2 separate regions of the Mus musculus genome follow, and region 1 is reported to be linked to region 2. The links are microRNA targets in miRTarBase. Many come from high-throughput screens and were not tested one by one. Region 2 holds a microRNA gene; the other region holds the end of a gene's coding sequence.

Region 1 (4,379 bases), not on the chromosome of region 2:
CTGGGATGTGGGCTGGGCCACCGGAGAGCTGACCCCTCTGACTCTTCCTCTTCCCCCAGGAAGCCAAAGGCAGCAGTGGCAGCAGCACGGTACAGCGGTCTAAGGTAGGGTCCTAAGGGTGGGTGTGGGCAGAGGAAAGGGTCGGCGCTAACCCGGCTTCTTGCTAAGTGTACTCTGCTCCTACTCCACAGTCCTTTAGCTTGCGGGCTCAGGTGAAGGAGACCTGTGCAGCCTGCCAGAAGACTGTGTACCCGATGGAGCGGCTGGTGGCAGACAAGCTCATTTTCCACAACTCTTGTTTCTGTTGCAAACACTGCCACACCAAACTCAGGTGCGCTCCTGCCCTGTCCCGGCCTGCCCACCTACTTGCCCACCCTTACCCTACCTTCCCGCCCTGCCCCAGACTGACCCAGATGTTCTCTGCTTCCACAGCCTGGGCAGTTATGCTGCAATGCACGGTGAATTTTACTGCAGACCTCACTTTCAGCAGCTGTTTAAGAGTAAAGGCAACTACGATGAAGGGTTTGGTCGTAAACAGCACAAGGAGCTCTGGGCCCACAAGGAGGTGGACTCAGGCACCAAGACGGCCTGAGACCCCTTTAACACCCATTCCCTCCCAGCACATGGCCTCCCGCTGGGCAGTGGAAAGGAGATTAACCCGGGGGCGCGGGGTGGGAGAGGATGAGGCTCCCTCACACAGGTTTCAGGCATAAGGCTCTGCTCCAGGATTCCTTACTTTTCCCATGGGAGGTTGGCGTTGGGAACCAGAATTGGAATTTTCACCATACTGTGTCCTTTAGTCCACCTCATCTCACCCCACGGCTCCCTGGGAGGCCCACAAGCCCAGCTTCCCTACTTAGGTGCCTTTTCTCCAGCAAGGAGTCAGCATGCCCTCCTCAGGGTCCCAAGCTCCCTCACTGCCACCTGGGCCTTGTGTACCCCCTTGTCTCCCCATCTACCTCTGCCCCTTAGCCTGGTAATGAGCCACAGAGACTGGAAGAGGGAGAGTGCCATCTACTGGGCCTCATAGATGCCACCTCGCTGAGGGGGGAGGGCTGGGGAAGAGGCAAGACAGCCTGCAGCCTTCAGGGTCTGGGGGTCCCTTGCACCACAAAGCTAAAGCTCTTGCTAGAGCCTCAGCTGACAGGGTCGGCAGTAGCTATGCTCCTCCATCTGTTGTGCTGTTCTGTTGTGATCAACCCTCTTTTAAAAACATTTAAACAGCTCTTGACTCTCTTGTGTGGCCTGATGGGGATGCTTTGTGGCAGGCATGCAGCAGACTCCTCATAGCGAGGGGAATGGAGGACAGCCCACAATACTCCTGGCCTTAAAGGGGCTGGTGGTCTGTGCCACCTTGGGGTGTTAAGCTGTCAAACCTGAAATCCCACTGTGTATCCTCGTCCCAGAGTAGCCAGGCACACTGGCTTGCAACCACACAAATGTTTTGGGTTTTTGAGACAGGGTCTCACTGTAGCTCTGATTGGCCTAGAACACAGAGATCTGCCTGCCTCTGCTTCCAAAGTGCTGGGATTAAAAAGGCCTGTGTCATCCATGCCTGGCTTCGGTTCTTCAGAGGTTAATTCACTACACTTGAGTACAGAAGAGAACCTTTCTGACTTGGCCAAGACCTTAGTGTCTGCCTTTCTGCTAGCTGATTCCAGCTGTCCAATTTCCTCCTAGTCCTTTACCCTAGAAATCTGCAAAGAATGGTAGGAATCCATAGCCTATCAAGTGCTGCCAGTACAACGTCTTCCACCTTCTCTCCTCATGACTGTCATCTTCCTGGAGCCTCTTGTATGAAGTGGGATGTCACAGCTACTGTGCCAGGACCTCCAGGGGCAAACTTTGCGCTCCTCAGAGTTCATGCACACTGAGGGACGACATCACACAGCAGAAGCACAAGGCAAGTGTGAAGATGCTCCCTCAGTGGAAGTCTGAGTTGTCTCGCCCCAAGCCCTATTTTCCTGGCTTCTGCAAACTGCCTATGGGACAGATGAATCGGTAAGCAAGAGGTCAAAGGCTGCTAGGCAGCCCGGCCTCTGGTCTTGCTAATGGGTGAATCACTGTAGACTTCCTTCAGGTGGGCATCTGGGAAGCAGGCACGACAAAGCCTTGGATTTATGGGACAAGGATGGTCTCTTGCTGCAGTAAAGAAACAGTGGCTGGGCTGGACGTGGCAGCACATGCTTTTAATACCAGCACTCAGGAGGCAGAGGCAGGTGGGTCTCTGTGCATTCAAGATCAGCCTGTTCTATGTAGTGAGTTCCAGGACAGCAGAGCTACATAGTGAGACCTTGCCTCTGACTGATGTTCTGTAAGGGACCAAGGGAAACCCCTCGGCCAGGAAGACTACAAAATGCCATGAATGGTCCTAGGAACTCAGCTATTGATGGATTCGGCTCAGATGGACAACCAGTGCTGTCCCAGTGACGCGCTGGGATAAAAGGGAAGGAGAGGGGCCACCTTGGCCAAGTTATCACAGGCTGCTTTTGGCAGCCATTTCAAGTTCTATTTAAGAGGCCTCAACTTGGGTGTTAGGCATTGTACCCAACCCATCCCTGTAAAAATTCCCACCACCACCTTTAACCGAAAGCATGGTCACAGGACCCTTCTGATATAAATGATCCCTTTTATTGTAAGTAATGCACTGGCCTGGCTTTGCACTGCAAGCCCTCAGTCAAGATATAGTCAATAACTATGGCTGCAGGTTCTTCTGCACATTCCACAATTCAGACACAGAGCTGGGCAAGTGGGAGGGAGGGGAAGGAGGGTGGCAGCGTGCACCTGACCCAGGCTTGGCCCTTCCATGTGGGGTTGGTGAAGGCAGATAAACCCCATGGAATGAAGAACAAATGAAGGTGGTGTAGCATCTTTGCACAGCAGGCCAAGGGCTGCTAGGAAACCTTCCTTCATAACCTTTGGGCCCAGGCCACCCTGGAGGCCCACAACTTGTCATTTGGATTTGTTAATAAGAAAAAAATAAATTAACAGCTTGGTCCTGAGGCTGCTGAACCAGCATGTCCACAGTTTTTGGCACAAAAAAAGGTGTCTCCCCCCCACCCCCCCTTTGGAGTGCAGAATTTGTTGGTTTACTTTTAAGTTCATTTTAGAAACATTGCCTATGAGGTAATACACTCCCCCCCCCCCCCCATGGGGATATGGGGGGAGCTCCGTGAGAGCCTGAACCTGTGACAAGCAGAGTTGTCTCATCTAACATCTTGTCACCCCACCAATCTCTATCTCCTTTGGGTTCGGGGTGTGGATAGGGATAGGCTAAAGGGTGCTATATAGCCATCAGGATGGGGTCATGGAGAGGCCCAGCTGCCTTTTGGCAGCTTTGGTCTAGAAGAGGGGCCAGTCCCTACTTTGGGCAAAGGCTGAGGTGGAAGCAGGACTTTGCTCACTGGCTTCAGAGCAGTTAGAGAGTGGCCTGACAGACCCCCAAGGGAAAGGAAATAAAACAGAGGGGCCCAGGCCCAATTGGCACCGTGCAACACACATATCTGCAAAACCAGCTGCTTTCAATTTCTGTTCTCTCTTCAGGAGTCCATCACCGGTAACAGTCTAGAATTGATATATATATATAAAACCATCAAATATGGATCTGAGATATAAATTAACAAGTACAAGGCCTCACATTACATGATGTGAAAAGGCTAAAAACAGCGATAGAAACTACATTCATAAAAGTGCATCGTCAACATACAACGAAGGCTTTGGCTTGTTCTGTGCCCATGGGGAAGTGGGCATGGCTGGCAAAGAGCTGCCTGGCACTAATCCCCAGCTCCCTGGAGATGCCCATCCCTGGGCACTGGCTTCTTTTTTTTTTTTTTCCTTTCCTTTAATGATAACTCCCAAAAATTTGGGAGTTAGGAGGGAGGAGCTCTAGAAATAGGCACATTTGGAGGGGAAGAAAGGGGCTGGAAGAAAGGACCAGCACCCAGGCTGAGGTAAATATGGCCAACTCTAAGCTGCTTGGAGATAACTCTTTCCCTAGCCCCTACTGGCATCCTCCTTTGTGGGAGGAACAAGAAGGGAATGAGGTTGATGACAAGTGGACAGGTCGGGCTGAGGAACACAGCTGGTGGCTTTGGACACGGTTGTGGCAGCTCAAGGACTTTCCCATGGAGTGGGCTCAGGCCTGACAGATTTGAGATGCAGACAGCCTGAGACAACCCCCTGCACTCTGCTGAGCTGCCCAGAACCAGGTGCCCTGACTTGTGTTGTCTACTTTCTCTGCTCCAGTGAGGGAACAGAGGGCAGGCCAGGGGGCAGAGGCCATCAGCTCTTCCATCCAGTCCAAGGCCTAAGCCCACATGGGTCTCCAGAGCTCAGAGGGCAAAGTCTCCAGTTTTAAAACTGGGAACAGCATAAGAGTG
Region 2 (4,379 bases):
GCACTCACCCCGGTAGCTAGTTATTAGTGATGAGGGAGGGGGGTCTCTCCCCTCTCCCAATGCACTCCTTTATTCCTAGGAATGTATGTGCTAGGCTGGTACACGCTCCCTTAATGACTCAGGAGCTGACCCCTTATCTTCTGGTCTCTCCGTAGGACTCGGTATATACAGACAGAGCTGGGCTCTCGTGAGCGCCTGCTGGTGGCTGTCCTGACTTCTCGAGCCACACTGTCCACCCTGGCCGTCGCGGTTAACCGTACAGTAGCACATCACTTCCCTCGGTTACTCTACTTCACAGGGCAGCGAGGGGCCCGGGCTCCTGCAGGGATGCAGGTGGTGTCTCATGGAGATGAGCGGCCTGCCTGGCTCATGTCAGAGACCCTGCGCCACCTTCACACACACTTTGGGGCAGACTATGACTGGTTCTTCATCATGCAGGACGACACATATGTGCAGGCCCCCAGATTGGCAGCTCTTGCTGGTCACCTTAGCATCAACCAAGACCTGTACTTAGGCCATGCAGAGGAATTCATTGGTACAGGAGAGCAGGCCCGGTACTGCCATGGGGGCTTTGGCTACCTGTTGTCACGGAGTCTCCTATTGCGCTTGCGGCCACATCTGGATGGCTGCCGAGGGGACATTCTCAGTGCCCGGCCTGATGAATGGCTTGGCCGCTGCCTCATCGACACTCTGGGCATCGGCTGTGTCTCACAGCACCAGGTGACAGCCCCTTCAAGGCAGTCCCAGTCCCCCAAAGGTTGGCAGTGACTGAATGATTGCTGTCCAAACTGAATTCTCCAGACATCCTTTTGTCCTTCCCAGAGGCCAGCTAGCCCCTTCCGCTCTCCCTTGCTCACCTTACAGCCCTGGGGCCATCAAAAGTGTGAAATTTTAGGGACCCCTGAACAAAACAGGAAGAGGTGCCTGAAGTCATCAACCTTCCTGTCTGCCATCCTCCCCACCCCCTTTTCCACACCCAGTGCACATCACAATTAAGGACAAGGTGAAAATGTTCTAGAGTTCACCACCCTAGCCCTACCCCCACCCCCACCCCCAAGGTGGAAAGCTCTATCATAGAAGGCTGATATCCCAGGGGCAAGACATCTTCCACACCTGCCTGCTGGGATGTCCTACAGCTGTATTCTCATTGAGCAGTGGGGTTCTTGGGGAAAGAGGAGGCCCTTAGTTGCCCATTTGCCTTATTTCCAAAATGTGAGCATTAGAAGCAGGAATGGAGGTTAGGGGTCCACTGCTTCTCAGTCCCTTCTAGAGCGGTGGTGGTGACAGGTGTGAGTGCTAAGGAGACCAAGGCTTTGGGGAACCACAGCTTATGTGTGCAGCATTGATTGTCTGATTGGTCCCTCTAGGGGCAACAGTATCGCTCCTTCGAACTGGCCAAGAATAGGGACCCTGAGAAGGAGGAGAGCCCTGCTTTCCTGAGTGCCTTCGCCGTTCACCCGGTCCCCGAGGGCACCCTCATGTACCGGCTCCACAAACGCTTCAGTGCTCTGGAGTTGGAGCGGGCTTACAGCGAAATAGAACAACTGCAGGTGAGCCACTGCAGTGAGCTGTGCCTGAAGGCCATGGCTGGGAGCTTAGAGGGGTCCTGGGGAGTCCAGGGCTAGGGTGGAGACAGCCTGGGGTCCAGCTACAGTAAGCTCTGGCTTGTCAAATTTGTAGGTAAACTCCCAGAAACTTACTTAAACTACATTAGTGCTCTGCCCAGAGAGACAGGCAGCAGCATTCTAGGCGTCTAGAATTGTGCTAAAGGCCCAAAAGATAGAAGAGGGGAATTCTGTAGTGTGGGGGTCATCAGAAGTGGGGTATAGATTTGATAGATAGGTCAGAGGATCATGAAGAGGATGTTGGTCCTGTGAGCGCGGGATTGAAAGTGTATTGAACTGTGTATTTTGAGATCTGCTTCCTTCTGCCAAGCAGATGGTCCTGGCGGCAGTTGTGAAGGTGGGCATTCCTCGCCTCCCTTCTGTATTTTAGATTATGACAGTTATGGGCAAGGGACTCGGTGGTTAGCCAGGCCCTGCTGATGGACCCCCAGAGCCTGGGCATCTGGAGCCGGGTGGAATCTCAGAACCAGCACTAATGTTGGTTGCATTCCCTCCAACTTAGGCCCAGATCCGGAACCTGACGGTGCTGACCCCTGAGGGGGAGGCAGGGCTAAGCTGGCCTGTTGGGCTCCCGGCCCCTTTCACTCCACACTCTCGCTTCGAGGTGCTGGGCTGGGACTACTTCACGGAGCAACACACCTTCGCCTGTGCAGACGGGGCTCCCAAGTGTCCCCTGCAGGGGGCTAGCAGGGCAGATGTAGGGGACGCTGTGGACACAGCTCTGGAGCAGCTCAATCGGCGCTATCAGCCCCGCCTGCGCTTCCGGAAGCAGCGGCTTCTCAATGGCTACCGGCGCTTTGACCCTGCAAGGGGCATGGAATACACCCTCGACTTGCTGCTGGAAGCTGTGACTCAGCGAGGGCACAGACGCTCCCTGGCCCGCAGAGTGAGCCTGCTGAGGCCACTGAGCAGAGTGGAAATCCTGCCTATGCCCTATGTCACCGAGGCTACCCGGGTGCAACTGGTGCTGCCACTCCTGGTGGCTGAAGCTCCGGCCGCCTTGGCTTTTCTTGAGGCCTTTGCTGCCAGTGTTCTGGAGCCTCGAGAACATGCATTGCTCACCCTGTTGTTGGTCTATGGGCCCCGGGAAGGCCGAGGGGGCCCTGACCCATTTCTCGGAGTGAAGGCTGCAGCAGCTGAGTTAGAACGACGGTACCCAGGGGCGAGGCTGGCCTGGCTCGCTGTGCGAGCAGAGGCCCCTTCGCAGGTGCGACTCATGGATGTCATCTCCAAGAAACACCCTGTGGACACACTCTTCTTCCTTACCACCGTGTGGACAAGACCTGGGTCGGAAGTCCTCAACCGCTGCCGTATGAATGCAATCTCGGGCTGGCAGGCCTTCTTTCCGGTCCACTTTCAGGAGTTCAACCCTGCTCTGTCACCACAGAGATCTCCCCCAGGTGTCCCTGGGGCTGATCCCCCCTCCCCTGGTGTGGACCCTTCTAGGGGGGCTCCGGTCGGGGGCAGATTTGACCGGCAGGCTTCAGCAGAGGGCTGCTTCTACAATGCTGACTACCTGGCAGCCCGCGCCCGGCTGGCTGGCGAACTGGCAGGCCAGGAAGAGGAGGAAGCCCTGGAGGGGCTGGAGGTGATGGATGTTTTCCTCCGGTTCTCAGGGCTCCACCTCTTTCGAGCCGTAGAGCCAGGGCTGGTGCAGAAGTTCTCTCTGCGGGACTGTAGCCCCCGGCTCAGCGAGGAACTGTACCACCGTTGTCGCCTCAGCAATCTGGAGGGGCTGGGGGCCCGTACCCAGCTAGCCATGGCTCTGTTTGAACAGGAACAGGCCAACAGCACTTAGCCTCTCCACCCCTGTATCTGCCATAGCCCCGGGAAGGGCAAGGCAAGGTGACGGACAGATGGAGGGCTTGCCACTGTATTTTTTTAAAAATAAGAAATGTTATTAAACGTATCTTCTGCCAAACTGTTTTTAGGTCTAGGGAGAGGGGTAAGAAGAAGAATCTGTGGTAGGGTTGTGGAGAATTTGTCTGCCGGCTTCCACTGCCTTCCCCTTCTCTTCCTCCTTCCCATCCCCGTCCACAATGACCACAAGGCTGCTGTCTGTTACGTGACCTTTAATCCATCCAGCCCTCCCCACCTTCCGCACAGCGCGAGAGGGGGAGTCCAGAGCCCAGGGCCTGTGCTGGGCGGAGTGGCTGGTCCACCCTGACGCTTGTTCACGGGCTCCTAGGTGTTGCGCACGACCAGCGACTGCTCCAGCTCCTGCCTGCGCTGCTGGATCTTTAGAGGAAGTGTGAGCGGGGCAGGGTTACAGTGATCCTGGTGAGTGACCAGGGGTACCCCATCCTGGCACCCCTCCCCTGGAAGAGTCTGGGAACCAGGAGACTACTGCATGGGGGTGTAGGGTGGTGGACAGGTAACTGTGGCCAGGTGAGAGGCAAGGCTGCCAGGACTGAAGGAGAGGGAGCCTCGGGTTCCTGGGCCTCCATTACCTTACAGTAGAAGTAGCGGCTAACGGCTTCCTGGGACCAGGGCTGGTGGTAGAACTCAGCCCTGCGTTCTTCCTCGGGGTTCCCTGCCACATCTGTCATCACCTGGGAGGGAGCACGGGGCCTGTGGTGAGTTCCCCTGAGGTGCATGCCCACCTGCCCCAGCCCGTGTGCTTGTCTTCGCATCAGTGCTCCCGGAGCCCCACTTCACCTTGAGATCACGGCTCTGGGAGCGGAGCAGGTCTTGGACGTAGCCTTTGGGGTCTCTGGAGAAACTTAGCATGAAGTCCCTCTGGATCTTGAGCTG

The links. The annotated mature microRNA mmu-miR-671-5p reads AGGAAGCCCUGGAGGGGCUGGAG and lies in region 2 at 3,191-3,213, shown strand. An mRNA with a match to its seed (bases 2 to 7 or 8) in the 3' UTR can be bound and repressed. Matches are read on the target gene's strand: a 7mer-m8 pairs with bases 2 to 8, a 7mer-A1 pairs with bases 2 to 7 and ends in A, and an 8mer does both.
Region 1: miRTarBase lists Limd2 as a target of mmu-miR-671-5p. Seed matches in the 3' UTR shown: 7mer-A1 at 1,513-1,519.

What each region holds. Positions count from the first base shown.
Region 1 is chr11:106,154,887-106,159,265 of GRCm38, reverse strand. It overlaps Limd2 (LIM domain containing 2), which reads left to right. Exons shown (of 5, transcript NM_172397.4): 3 at 60-104; 4 at 192-331; 5 at 433-3,012. The coding sequence ends at 592. It overlaps Map3k3 (mitogen-activated protein kinase kinase kinase 3), which reads right to left. Exons shown (of 16, transcript NM_011947.4): 16 at 2,610-4,379. Among named protein-coding and RNA genes, the nearest start is that of Gm10840, 2.3 kb to the left of the region's middle.
Region 2 is chr5:24,588,942-24,593,320 of GRCm38, forward strand. It overlaps Mir671 (microRNA 671), which reads left to right and starts at 3,173; the gene lies at 3,173-3,270. Chpf2 (chondroitin polymerizing factor 2) reads left to right here. Exons shown (of 4, transcript NM_133913.2): 2 at 156-720; 3 at 1,368-1,550; 4 at 2,128-3,546. The coding sequence ends at 3,423. It overlaps Smarcd3 (SWI/SNF related, matrix associated, actin dependent regulator of chromatin, subfamily d, member 3), which reads right to left. Exons shown (of 13, transcript NM_025891.3): 11 at 4,284-4,379; 12 at 4,076-4,177; 13 at 3,681-3,863. The coding sequence ends at 3,810.